2 linked regions of the Astyanax mexicanus genome follow. Each later gene encodes a partner of the first gene's protein in a complex. Links are inferred from orthologs where the notes say so. Each region holds a gene or a part of one and is shown in the gene's direction. Other genes may lie near its edges.

Region 1 (7,503 bases):
CTTTTAAACTGTACCGCGGAGCTTTTTAAACTGTACCGCGGAGCTTTTTAAACTGTACCGCGGAGCTTTTTAAACTGTACCACGGAGCTTTTAAACTGTACCGCGGAGCTTTTTACCTGTACCGCGGAGCTTTTTACCTGTACCGCGGAGCTTTTTAACTGTACTGCGGAGCTTTTAAACTGTACCGCGGAGCTTTTAAACTGTACCGCGGAGCTTTTAAACTGTACCGCGGAGCTTTTAAACTGTACCGCGGAGCTTTTTACCTGTACCGCGGAGCTTTTTACCTGTACCGCGGAGCTTTTTACCTGTACCGCGGAGCTTTTTACCTGTACCGCGGAGCTTTTAAACTGTACCACTGAGCTTTTTAAACTGTACCACTGAGCTTTTTAAACTGTACCGCGGAGCTTTTTAACTGTACTGCGGAGCTTTTTAACTGTACCGCGGAGCTTTTTTAAACTGAGCTGAGCTTTTTAACTGAGCTTTTTAACTGTACTGCGGAGCTTTTTAACTGTACCGCGGAGCTTTTTTAAACTGAGCTGAGCTTTTTAACTGAGCTTTTTAACTGTACCGCGGAGCTTTTAAACTACTGTTTTTTTCCCCCTGCGAGACAGGTTTAAGCTTGACGAGATCTCGTCACACCCCTAGAAAAAACATGGAAAACTGGTGAACCTTCCCAGGAGTGACCGGCCGACCGAACAAAATTACTCCAAAAGGGCATGAACAACTCATCCATGAGATCCCAAAAGAACCCAGAACAACATTTATCAATTAACATCATGATGCTCTTTAGGAAAAATTGTTTTTTCCTTTTTAAAATTATGGGTAAATATTATATTTTGACTGAAGAGACAAAAGTGGAACTTTTTGGAAGGTGTGTGTCCCGTTACATCTGGCATAAAACTATAATAAACACATAATTTCAGCAATAAAAGAACATTGCTCTCACTGAACGTAAAATGTAAAACATGGTGGTGGTAGTGTGTGCGTTATGATGGTCTGGAGCTGCCGGACTTTAACTTGCTGTAATAGATGGAAGCAGGAGTTCTGCTGTTTTTACCAGAAAATCCTGAAGGAGAATCAGAATCCGTCCATCTGTTCCTTACTGACCTCAAGCTCAGGAGTACTTGGGTTCTGCAGCAGGACAATGACCCAAAGCACACAAACAAAAAGTTCACCTCTGAATGGATTAAAAATAAATAAAAACTAAATGAAGGTTTAGGAGGGTCTAGTTAAAGTCTGATTGAGATGCTGTGGATGATCTTAAACAGTTTTAGACGTTTATGCTGGAAAATCCTCCAATGTGTCTGAATTAAAACTGTAATTCTGTAAAGAAGAGTGGAACTAAATTCCTCCAGAGATGAGAAAGACTCGTTACTAGTTATAAACAGGTGTGGATTTATAAAGGATACAGAGCCGTCGTCGTGCACCACCTGGAGGATGAGTGCGAGGGAGGACCGAGGATGAAGAGTGGACAGCAGGACAGCCTCACACGTTTCCCTCACACACTGCTCCCTCGCACGCTCCCGCACACCTACAGAACCGGGTTACAGAACCGGATTAGTGAACGTTCATCACACGCACAGATTTTCACTATTACATGACTACCACCCTGTGGTGAGAGGGGGTAACGCAACCAACAACAGGCTTTTAATCTAGAGGAATATTAAAGCATGATTAGTGTTATAAATAAATTAATATGTTCACTGTATTGTAATGAGAATTACATTAATTAAATAGGGCTCTAACAATAAATATTACTTTAACCTACTAGTAGACTCATGCTGCATTATTGTGCTCAGTTTTTCAGACATCAGGTATGTTTTGCACTTAGTTATACAATAAAATTCCAAAACAGGAGTGTGCACAATATATTAATGTGAACTAAAATGACAAAAACTGTTTATTAAATTTTTTACGTTTTACAGTTTTCTGTTTTACTTAATTTTATTGAAGCATTTTGAGCTGCGTTTTTTTTTGATGATATACAAGCAAAGTTTATTATATTATATATTATATTATAACTATTCCATTTTTTAATGCTTAATGATGACGGCTCTGCGCATTGACTAAATATTATATAATGCACAGAACATTTTAGAAGGTCCATTTTACATCAAATAAATAACTAGTTGTGAGTACAATTATGTTGTGCATTTTGGCAATATAGTGTATTATTAATTAATAAATTATTTTTTTATTTAGTATCTCTGAACACAGAGCTACTTACTTGACATGCCCACTTTAGGCTGGACAACCACCTCCAGAGTCGCTCTGTCATAGATCTCCTTATTCACTTTCACTTCAGCAGGTCCATAAACTCCTGCCAACACACTGGTGTCCCCTGTAAACACATATACCATTACAGAAACACACACACACACACACACACAAACACAAGATCAATACAGAACCCAGAAAAATCCTCCAGAAACCTGCAGAGTAGAGCCCCTTATAGAGTTCTGTAATGTCCAATAGAAACCTTCTAAATCCCTATGGATGCCCTGTAGAGTTCTGTAGTGCCCTATAGAAACCAAATAGAGCTTTGTAGTGCCCTATAGAAACCCTGTAGATTCATATGGAACCCCTGTAGAGCTCTGTGGTTGTCTATAAAAACCATATAGAGCTTTGTAGAGCCGTATTTAACCAATATAGAACTCTGCAGTGCCATATAGACCCAAGTTCTGTAGAGACGTTCAAAACACTGTAGAGTCCTGTGGAGGCCTATAGAAACCCTATAGAGCTCTGTAGTGCCCTACAGAAACCCTCTCTTTTATTAACTGTTATTTTAAGATTATTAAATGTAGTTATTATTTAATTTATCATCATGTTAATCCCTGTATTTGTGAATGCTACATTGAAAATGAGGGTTGCCCTTAATGTACTTCTGAGTGAAAATAACGGTTGATTGCCTAAATGACTAATTGATATATTGTCATGTGGACCCTATAGAACTCGTAGAGCTCGGCAGTGCCCTATAGAAATCGTGCAGAACACTGTAGAGTCATGTGCAGGCCTATAGAACACTAGAGTCCTTTGGAGCACTATATAACCCTATATAGCCATATAGAAACTCTGTAGATACCTACAGAACAGGGTAGAGTTCTGTGGAGCCCTATATAGTCAATATAGAGTCTTGTAAACAAGTGCACAACCCAGAGGAACCCATTTAGAACCCCATAGAACCCAATAGAACAGAGACAGTATATAGATAAATACCCTGTAGGAAGGTCGCTGATCCGTCCGGTTTGGACAGCAGGTTCTGTTCGCTCCCGTATTCCCTCAGAACCGAACCCGAACCCGTCTCTATCTGATCCATCACTGCCGAACCCTGCACCCCGCGATACTGCAGCACGCCGGCCCGTCGCCCGCTCACAGCGTCACTGTTTACCGCGCACTCTGATGACGCTTTAATAAGATAAAAGTCCTTAATCTACCGGTAAAAACAGTAAATCAGTTTACACTAGTTAAGCTAAAATATTCTGTATTTTATTAGGCATTTTATTTACAACGAATTTTCGTTTAAATAAGAAAGAGGATTGATTTGATTTGCAATAGTGTTTTGTAATTGAATTATTTTCTTAAAAATACTATAATACTCTAATATAGTATTTTTCCAAGGAACAAATATATAAATGTAAGTTAAATAAAACAGAAGGCGGTCATTTATTCATTATTTAACCATGCTATTTATATTTTATTAATAAAGTAATTTAAAATAATTCTTAATTTAATTAAAGGACACCGTTTTTTTTACAATCTTATGTACATGCTTCCTCTGTTATACATTTTTCTTGTATTTGGTTTTCCCATGTTTCCTAATTTATTTTATTATATGCTGATGTCATTTTTTTATTTGCAGCTTTAACCTTTATTATAAATAAATAAATAATAATAATAATAATAATAATAATAATAATAGTTTAATAATAAAAGTTTTAATAGAAACTGTTTAGTTATTTATACACCGTCACATATAACTTTTTACATGCTTCCGCTATTACACATTTTTCTTGCATTTTGTTGTTGTTTTTTAATTATAATAATTAATAATAATAATAATAACAATAATAATAATAACAATTATTATGATTATGATTATGATTATTATTATGATTATGATGATGATGATTATTATTATTATTATTATTATTATTATTATTATTATTATTAATAAATGAAACATTAGTTACATTATTATCATAAACAATATTGTTTTCTCATTTTAATTATTAATTAGCAATTTTATCTTTTTTTAATTTAGCTACATAATTTACTATATATATATTCTTTTTTGTTGTTTTTTAAGTGTGTTATTTCTTAGGGAATTAATGAATTTATAAGAGATGTGAAGAAATATTGAAAGTGAAATATTAGTTGTATTAAAATGCTGATTTTGTAATTGTGTGTATATATAATCAGTAATTTCTCAGTTATATTCATAGTGTATATACAGTGCGGTGTCTCCGCCGCTGCAGCAGGAGGCGCTGTGAGCGCGGTGCGGGAGGACAGTAAGGCTGAAACATGGCGGCGGTGCGGAGGCTGCAGAAATGGGTCGGACTCGGTTTTCACGCGTTTCGCCAAAATTCAGCATTAAACTCGGTCAGAGCCCTGCAGCGGAGAGCCTTCCGCACCCAGGTAACCTCACCTGCTCACCCGCACAGCGCGCGCTGCTCACCTGTACAGGTGTTCCTGTGGGTCTGATCTGAGCTGCAGCTTAAACAGTAGCATGTAATGCCCACCTGCAGATATATATTTAATATATAACCCTCAGCTAGAGCTTTATACTGTAATAAAGATATATAGCAGCACGTGAGGGGTTATTATCAGATGCAATATTATTATACAGGTGAATCTGATACAGGTAAACCAGCTGCTCACCTGGACTAAAAAAACAACACTGGCTTATATTGTTTAAAACACACATATAATACAAGCATATAAGCTACAGTATAGATAGATAAATACAGCTGTCCACAGACTCTGTAACGCTGTGGTTCTATATAACTTTATTTTAATATTTAATATATATGTTTTAATGTAACTTATATATTTAATAGTGTGTATGGTTGTGTGAAGCGTTAATAAACCGCATATTCAGCTGTTGTTAATAAGTTTAGTTATTAATAACTGGTTTATGCTGCTGATTTTGAGGTTAATATGAAGTTATTATATTATATTATATATTTTTTTACTGAAACCGGTCTATTTGTTTTGGCTGCGAGAACCTAGCCACCGCGCATGCGCATAACCTTCACGGCGCTGCGCCGTTTCCTTCGCTCTGATTGGTCCGCTCCGGGGGTGTGGAATATAACACGCTTCAAGGCGGGATATATATGTATATATATATGTATATATATATATACATATATATATATATATATATATATATATATGTATATATATATATATATATATATATATATATGTATATATATATACATATATATATATATATATATATATATATATATTATTTGATTTTTTTTTCTGTCTAACTTCTATATTATTATTTTTAAATTGTTAGTTATTATTTTGAGAGTAAGTATTTTTTGGTATACTATATATATATGGTATACAGGTGCTGGTCAACGAATTAGAATAATTTGAAATAGTGCAATCATGAAATTCTTTGAATGCATTTTTTGTGCAGAAAGCAAATCAGGTGTTCACCGCACCTGTCCTACTCGTTAGACTAATCACAGAACTCGTTACCTGGAAAAAAAATTGCTCAGCTGAGCTTTCCAAAAGGCCCATTTAGGCCATTTAACTGTGACACTGTTGTTTTATTGAATTAGAATAATGGAGAAACCGTTTCATTGAATTAGAATAAATGCTCGAATTTTTGTTTTCTGTGAAGAGTGTTCACTGTGCAGTATAAAGTCAGGGTTGAGTAGAATTTCTAAGTTGTAAAATCAATCATGGGTAAGCAGCGCGACCTCTCAACCGGAATAGTGGCTCAAATTCAAGCCCTTCGCCAACAAGGCTTGACCCAAACTAAAATTGCTGAGCAGCTCGGCATCAGCCAGTCTTCCGTCTGCAAAGCTCTCAAGAAAAACTGCAGCAAGCGCACCAACTGTTCCGGCGTCCGAAAAACTTCTGCTCTCGACAACAAGCAGCTGAGAAAGATCGCAGTCAGCAACCGGTTCAAGTCCACTTCCGAGCTCACCGACTTGTGGAACAAGCAGACCGGCGCTGACGTCTCCAGATCAACCACTTACCGTCGTCTGCGCGAACTCGGCTTCAAATCTCGCGTTCCAGCAGTAAAACCGATGCTGAACAAGAAACAAATGGAGAAACAGCTGAAGTGGGCCAAAGAACACGGCGAGTGGACTGCTGAAGACTGGCAGAAAGTGGTCTTCAGTGACGAATCACGCTTCTGCATCTCCTTCGGTGACCAAGGTCCTCGTGTCTGGCGTCGTGGTGGCAAAACCTACAACCACGAGTGCGTGAAAAGATCCGTCAAGTTTCCCCAGAGCGTTATGGTCTGGGGATGCATGTCCGCTCGAGGTGTAGGGAAACTCTGCTTCCTCAAGAAGACTGTCAATGCTGCCGTATATCAAGATGTTCTGGAAACGTTCCTGATTCCGACTGTTGAGGAACAGTTCGGCGAAGAAGACTTCATATTTCAACAGGATCTTGCACCGGCTCATGCGGCAAAGTCGACCAAAGATTGGTTCACTAAAAAACAGCTTGAAGTTTTGGCATGGCCGGCCAACTCGCCTGACCTCAATGTCATTGAAAACCTTTGGGCCATCGTCAAGCGGAAAATTCGCGACAGAAAGCCTACTACGCTGGACCAACTGAAGCAGAACATCGCCACTGCCTGGGAAGCTGTGAGTGCGGAAACTTGCGACAAGCTGGTCAAATCGATGCCGCGGAGACTTCAGGCAGTCATACAAGCCAAGGGGGCAGCCACAAAATACTGAGAAAGTGATGATTGTAATTATAATAAAAATTATTCTAATTCAATGAAACGGTTTCTCCATTATTCTAATTCAATAAAACAACAGTGTCACAGTTAAATGGCCTAAATGGGCCTTTTGGAAAGCTCAGCTGAGCAAATTTTTTTCCAGGTAACGAGTTCTGTGATTAGTCTAGCGAGTAGGACAGGTGCAGTGAACACCTGATTTGCTTTCTGCACAAAAAATGCATTCAAAGAATTTCATGATTGCACTATTTCAAATTATTCTAATTCGTTGACCAGCACCTGTATATAGTAATATAGTAAGTCATTTTGAGACAGTAAGTCATTATTTTGAGATAAATCATTATTTTGAAATAAATAATTATTTTGGGATAGTAAGTAAGGCATAGTAAATAATTATTTTGAGATATAGTAAGTCATTATTTTAGGATATTAAGTCGTTATTTTGAGATAATGTCTCGTTATTTTGAGATAGTAGGTAATTATTTTGAGATAGTACGTCATTTTGAGAGTTATTTTTAGATACTTTCTCATTATTTTAAGAAAGTACGTCGTTATTTTGAGATAGCAAGTTATTT
Region 2 (6,858 bases), on another chromosome or scaffold:
TATTGATTAATGTGCAAAATGTTGAACCATGGTACCATATAGTTATGCTTTTAACAGTATGTTAAATAGTTCTTTTTAGAGCTGTACGATATATTTCAGCATCAACATTGCATTGTGTGCACATGTGAATCACATTAAAATGATGTAAAATGACATGTATGGCAAATATAGACAAACCTGTTATATAACATGTTATTCTCACTGTTTTCATTTTTCATGACTTATCTACAAGGGGCAGACTATATATTAATAATTCATTTTACTGTAAGGTTGGATACACCGAGTGCACTTTAAATATCATTGACGTTTGATGTAATCTAATGACTCTTTAATATTGCAGTATGTCACAGAAATGTTTTAAAAAGGAAAAACTGAATGCCTAATTTTATTTTTCTCCTGTAATGTGCAGTCCTTGTTGTTTTATATTTGAAAGTAAATGTATAAACTCATTACATGCATCATAGGAGTACTCATTGGTCTAATAATGAATACTATTTGGACTGATTAAGGAAATCCTGTGTCTTAAAGGTATTATTGTTTTTACTCTCTCTTTCTTAAACTTTTGTGTTCTACAGATCAGCCCAAAGGGTGATGTGTGGTCACTTGGCTGTATCCTGTACTGTATGACCTATGGGAAAACCCCTTTCCAAACTATCACCAACCAGATTACCAAGCTACACGCTATTATTGATCCGTCCCATGAGATTGACTTTCCTGACATCCCAGAGAAGGATCTGCTGGATGTGCTGAAGGTCTCTATTGTCTTCATTTCCATGTGACTAATGTGCAATAATTCTGAAATGATTGCAATAACTTAGTTCATTTAAAAAATCTAATCAAAATATCTCTTTCTTGTACATAGCGCTGTCTGATTCGGAATCCTAAAGAGCGGATCTCGATTGCAGAACTTCTTGACCATCCATACTTATGGCTGCAGCCTCAGAAACCTCCTGAGCCAGGTGACTGCTATATATTTTCAGTCTAGTACTAAACACAAACAGATGAAAGAGAAAGATTGCCAGACATGGATAGAACTAGTCAGAAGTAAACATTATTCCTATGGTATGAGTTTTTTGTAATATCTGGTACGCAGATTAAAGAGGAGAATGCTTAGCACTGATATGTTGCACAACCATGCCCTGCAATCACCTTTAAAAAAACAAAACATGTCCCCAAATACCATGACAGTTTCTTTTAATCAACTAGCAGGTTCTGTGAAAAATGTAAGGGTGCTTTCATGTTTGCTCTGATTAGTTGTATTGTCATCCAGGACAAATAATTGAAAGAATAGTGGTATGCAGTGCTAAATAAATAAATTATTGTATTTTTTCTTATCCCTAACAGAAAGCTGCAACAATGATCTAAAGAGGATTCTAAATGAGTTGGCTGCTTTGCAGTCTCCCAACAGCATTGCAAGAGCTGCAAGTGTGAGTGTTCTTCTGCTGAATGTTGTCTGTAATTATTAGAGATTGTGTAAAAATATTCTCATTTTTTATTACTGTAATTTCTTTGCTTGCTTTTGAAATTCATCAAATGTTTTAATACCATACGCTTGTCACTGATTCGAATCTAACCCTATCTTTCTACCTCACATTACAGAATCTGGCAAAGATGTGTAATAGTGGGAAAAAATTGGACGTTTCCGAGTGCGTCAAGAGTTCCAGTCAGTCCACATGGAAGTGAAGAGTAATAAAGAGCACATGCCAGCCAGTGGCTTAAATATCTTTTGATTTCTTGAGATGAGAAATTTTAGTTTTAATATTGGCCAATTGATGTTTTTTGAATGGAGAAGAATGCTTAGTAGAAACATTTCTGTGCTTTTCTTTGATTAAAAAACTTGTGGTCTGTCAAACTTGTGTTGCTATCTTGTGAGAATTATATCAGGTATAGGCTCCATTAATCATATTTGTACCTGTCACTTTCCCTTCATTTTCTATGTCTTTGTTTATACACTGTGTTCTCACAAATAAACGTACCTATACGCTATATTAAGTCCTTTGGTGCCTGTGAAATACCTTTCCCCAGTAGTTATGTGCTATAGTAGTGAACGTGTGTGAAGCTACACACTTTTTTCTTGCAATTAATGAAGAAAATATTTTTTACTATAAAAAAGACAGTTTGCTTACTCCAGATTTGTAGTTCATGGTTTTCTACACTGGCTACTGTTTTTTTTCCCTTTTCTCCCAACAATAAATGCAATATTTATAGGGATAGGCAGATTGATGCTAAAATGTGGAGACCTCCAGTGAAGTCCAGTAAACTGCATGTCTGAACATCTATTATATCTGAATGTGTTTACTATATCTTTGTTTAAATTGTGAGCAGATGGTAGGGTAAGGTGGGCAGAGGGTGTGTAAGGTGGGTTTGGTTGGAAACATCAAACCAATTTAAATATTAGTCAAAGACCACACAGGTAAACACAATGTTATTTTTAAATGAAGGTGTTAATTATTAAGGGAGGAAAAATCCAAATATTTAAATGTGACAAATATGCAAAAAATCAGGAAGGGGCAAACACTTTTTCACACCACTGTACATAAATATCTATAATAAATTAAACATGCTGATTTTTTTATCCCATAGACAGGCAATACAACTGAAGGGTCCAATTCTCCAACTGTTAAAATATGTAAACATAATGTGTTTACATCTTCACTAGGGACAACACTAGACATGTTTCTATATAATATAAAATCATAGGTCTCAGATTTGATAATTGAAGCTTTTTAATGCCATACAGAAAAACGTTAATGGCTTGTTGTATGGAAAATAATCTTCACATGCTACATTCTTTATGGATGTTTCAGTGTTTCAATGAGTTTTATGATTCTATGCTGAACCTGTGGCTTTATTTAAGAATTCCTTTTTTAGCCAATTGAAAGAGTGTACCTATTCTTTCTTTGTGTTGTTTTAGATAATCCTGAACTCTGGACTGAAAACAATCATTATTGTTTTTAACAAGTGTTATAATTTAAAGGGCCTTCATTTTGAATTAACACACCATAATGTCCTGTTATTAAGTAAGTAACACCTACAAGAAGTCTACTATCAGGGCTAGGTGAAACTGATCTGTGATAACAGGTGGATTCCTTTTAATACCACACCACAGCAGTTGACTTGATATGAAGAATTGAGGGGGGCTTTTATTTTGAAATGTGTTCCTCCACACGCTGTAAATTTTAGTGTATGCGCGATCTGGGAAACAGCGCGGCGGCTAGTTTTAGAAGTAGTAGAACTTGTTTAAAACTAATTTTAAAGAACACTTTAAGAGGCTGGCATGGCCGCAGTCAGAAAAGGGTGAAAGCGTACTAGAACTGCTCTCGAGCATCTGTAATCTCTTATCAATGCTTTCTGTGCAATCTAACCAATCAGTCTGAACCGATCGGAGTTAGGCCCGCCCACTGAGCTTGATGGGTGATGTTGACAGATTTAATTATTTCATACTGCTACGGCGCGCACGGAATAATTAAATGTATTATTTGAGTTAAACAATTAATTTGATAAAAATAACAATAAATTTACGAAAAAATAATTACATTAACTTATTTATGCTTCGTTTTCATATTTAAATAAATATATTAATATTTGAATAAATTAAATCTCATTTTAAATATTCATTTACCGTTTTTATTAATTATTTCTTTATTCATTTATTTATATAATATTGTCACAAATGACCCCCATAATATAAATACATTTAAACTGAATTAATTAGCAGTTCTTTTTTATAAAACATAACAATGAATTATACTCCTACCTTTGTATCAACACGCCGGTTCTCTTTAAGAGCCGCCCCCTGGTTTCAGCCAATCAGAGCGGCGGGCGGCTGCTCCTCCGCTGACGTTTCGAGCGGAGTTCCGGTGTAGTGTGTGTGTGTGTGTATGATGGCGGCAGTGCGGCTTCTCCTCCGGACTGTGAGCTCCGCGTCCTCCTGTGCGCACAGCGGCTCAGGGACAGCGCTGCTCAGACTCTCCCCGACCTGCAGCTCCAGACCCAGAGCGCAGAGGCGGCATGCAGCTCATTTCGCCTTCCACCCAGACCCCGTCCCCACTAAATACGGTAGGACACGGGCCCGGGGTGAACACTGCACTCCCAACACACACACACACTGTTCACCACACACACAGCCTGCTGACTGCTGTCCATACACTACACGACTTCGAAAGACACTAAAAGACTTTTAAAAGACAGAAGTGTGACACCCTCTCACATCTAAAGACAAGTCACAGACTTTTTAGTCACTGACTAAGATTTTAGAAAGACTGGGGATCTTACAGGGTCACTAATTGCAAGACTGCAGCTAGTTTCTTTCTGAGATTATTTTCCATTATGCTTCTGGTGGAGTTTATATACAATACATATTACAAGTTACAAATAATGTATAAATCAGCTTTTGTCCCCATAAACAGTTTATTGTCTGTTTACTGCCACACTGTTAGTTCTTAATATTTTTTAATAGAATACACCTTGTGTACAACTCTGCCTATAAGCTTCATTACCCCCATTTTTTGCTACAACCTTGTATAGCAAAGAATCACAGTTTCACTGCTATATATTTGCCTTTGTTTTAGATTATTAATGCAATAAAGAACATTTATTCTTGCTAAATGTGTATTTATTAAACTTGTTTGTATCTAAACATAACACTGCACAGTAGGACAAACTATTGCAAAATAAAATAACTTAAATATAATTACTTTAAAGTTTTACCTGTGTTTAAAATAGTGTACATATTAAAGTAAGAACCATAAAAGGTAAGATGTGTTCTTTTTTAAATCGTTTGTAAACAGTCACGTAAAATATTCTTGCCTTGCCTCTTCCCGTAGCTCTCCTATTGGCTGTTGACATTGTTCACGTCACTGTTTGCGTGAGCCGAGTCTCAAGATTTACGATAATATGAAACACGGCTGAACGCAGTACACAAAAAAGACTTTCAGTCCTAACCACCTCACACTAAACTGTCGAGATGATGTTACTGCAGCTCCACACTAGCAAGACTATCCTGATTTTATACTGACTCTGGAAATTTATCAGAGTCACATACATACTATCTGTATAACTAAATAACTACAGGTTTCTGTAGTGTATGCTGTGGTTAGCTGAAGGTCACAGCAGGTTTACAGGTTATAACTTCATTGGGTACAGAATGTTTCAGCATGACCTGATCTGTGCACGAGTTTGCTTTGAGTAATAATAAGATAGCTTAATTGTCTTTCAGTCTTTAGTTGTATCCTGCTGAAAAGACAACAACAGCAGCATGTCAGGCTGGTAACAGCCCAGGATTTTTGTCAATTGACATTACACCACTAAATCTTGAGTGTTTCTATTCAAGTATTACATAAAAAAGTTTTCATGTTTGATATCATGATTGTATTTGTAATAAAAATATATATATTTAAGTAAATTTGCTAATGTCAAAATATATTGAATAAAATCATAAAGTGGGCTCTTTCCTGAACTTCATTGTAAAATCAATATTTTCCAGAATACAAATCAAACAGTTCCTGTCCTTTCATTATGTTTGTCTAGTTTTTACATCTATTATCAAACATGCAGAATTGGGGTTGATTCCTGTTACTTATCTGAAATTATTAAGTGGAGTAGAAAGTGAACAGGCAACTTCTCAAAGTGTCCTCTCAGAGATTTAAAAGCTCTCAAATTTCCAGGATGCAATTAAGTTATTTTGCTACAGAAAAATATTTTTGTATTGCTTACACCTGTAAGCAATACAAAACACGGTCCTAGGCAGTAGGCACCTTCATAAAATCCAAGCTGGTTGACAAGCATGGCCAGCCAGACTAAAATCAAATGAAGCATACAACATATTCTTCAAGAGCTAGTTAATCAGTTAGCTTACCAAAAAGTTCTCAAAGAGAATGTCCGGCCATCTGTTTGTGACCTCAAGCTGAAACAAACTTGGGTTATGCAGCAGGACAATGATCCAAAACACACAAGCAAGTCCACCTCTAAATGCCTAAAGAAAAACAAATAGAATGCTTTGGAGTGGCCTACTCAAAGTCCTGACCTAAGACTAGGCTACACCAAAGTCTTAGTCTAGAAGAGTGAAGCTAAAATCCATTCCTCGCTCTGTGAAAGAGTCATTGCAAGTTACTTTAAACGCTTGATTGCAGTTGTTGCTGGTAAGGGTGGCCCAACCAGTTATTAGGTTTAGGGGCAAACATTTTTTCACACAGGGCCATGTAGGTTTGATTTTTTTGTTCTGTAATAATAAAAACCCTTGATTAAAAAAATGCATTTTGTGTTTACTTGTTTTGATTTTGACTAACATTTAATGGGTCAAAATCTTTTTCAGACAACTGTATTGTGTGTGTGTGTGTGTGTGTGTGTGTGTGTGGTAGAAATATTTTCAATAAGTATGTTTTATTTTCTGTTTAGCTTGTGTTAGTTAAGTCCTTTCTTGAGTCTTGAGTCTTCCTTATGTTAAATTGTTATTGGATGTGTTAAGGCGCTGTAAATACTTCGTAGACCAGTGGCTGTAGTGTCTGTAAGATGTGTTACTATTATCCTATGTTTATTCAGTTTTCTATGTTACTTCTTTTGGCATGAGCAGTTCAGTACGCCGCTTTATTCCTCTCAGATTTATTCTTAAATACAGGGTACAGATAATATAAATCAATACAGACTCATATGGCTACTAAATAGGTTCAGTTATTTTGTTATGCTTATTCAGTTTTTTAATACATATTTGTTTTCCATTATGGCTGTAACTTTACCGGTGTGTTTATCTCCTCCAGGCCCCACCGTGAAGATGAACTTGTTCCAGTCTATAACCAGTGCCTTGGATAACACACTTGCAAGTGACCCCACAGCAGGTGAGACTGATGATCTCTTTAGTTG

The links. The genes of interacting proteins can lie anywhere in the genome.
Region 2: the proteins of bckdha (region 1) and bckdhb are in contact, whole or in part, in a crystal structure (PDB 1V16), measured with the Homo sapiens proteins. The link is inferred for Astyanax mexicanus from reciprocal best matches to the Homo sapiens genes BCKDHA and BCKDHB. Residues at the interface, in NP_000700.1 of Homo sapiens: Phe155, Leu185, Gly186, Lys187, Arg189, Gln190, Gly196, Cys197, Lys198, Phe202, Val203, Thr204, Ser206, Pro208, Thr211, Pro214, Gln215, Val217, Gly218, Ala219, Tyr221, Ala222, Arg225, Gly244, Asp245, Ala248, Asn251, Phe252, Thr255, Leu256; in NP_000047.1 of Homo sapiens: Pro89, Thr90, Val92, Asp117, Arg118, Phe120, Asn121, Thr122, Pro123, Cys125, Gln127, Gly128, Ile129, Gly131, Phe132, Ile134, Gly135, Ile136, Val138, Thr139, Asp158, Gln159, Asn162, Glu163, Ala165, Tyr167, Arg168, Tyr169, Arg170, Ser171.

What each region holds. Positions count from the first base shown.
Region 1 is NC_064416.1:2,328,115-2,335,617, forward strand, and holds the start of bckdha (2-oxoisovalerate dehydrogenase subunit alpha, mitochondrial), read left to right. Parts: upstream 1-4,479; 5' UTR 4,480-4,521; coding exon 4,522-4,635; intron 4,636-7,503. Other genes in the region: exosc5 (exosome complex component RRP46), read right to left, coding at 1,410-1,531, 2,228-2,341, 3,217-3,316. UniProt on the Homo sapiens protein: Together with BCKDHB forms the heterotetrameric E1 subunit of the mitochondrial branched-chain alpha-ketoacid dehydrogenase (BCKD) complex.
Region 2 is NC_064413.1:27,230,324-27,237,181, reverse strand, and holds the start of bckdhb (2-oxoisovalerate dehydrogenase subunit beta, mitochondrial), read left to right. Parts: upstream 1-3,857; 5' UTR 3,858-3,881; coding exon 3,882-4,059; intron 4,060-6,755; coding exon 6,756-6,833; intron 6,834-6,858. Other genes in the region: dual specificity protein kinase Ttk, read left to right, coding at 576-752, 863-959, 1,345-1,427, 1,600-1,683. UniProt on the Homo sapiens protein: Together with BCKDHA forms the heterotetrameric E1 subunit of the mitochondrial branched-chain alpha-ketoacid dehydrogenase (BCKD) complex.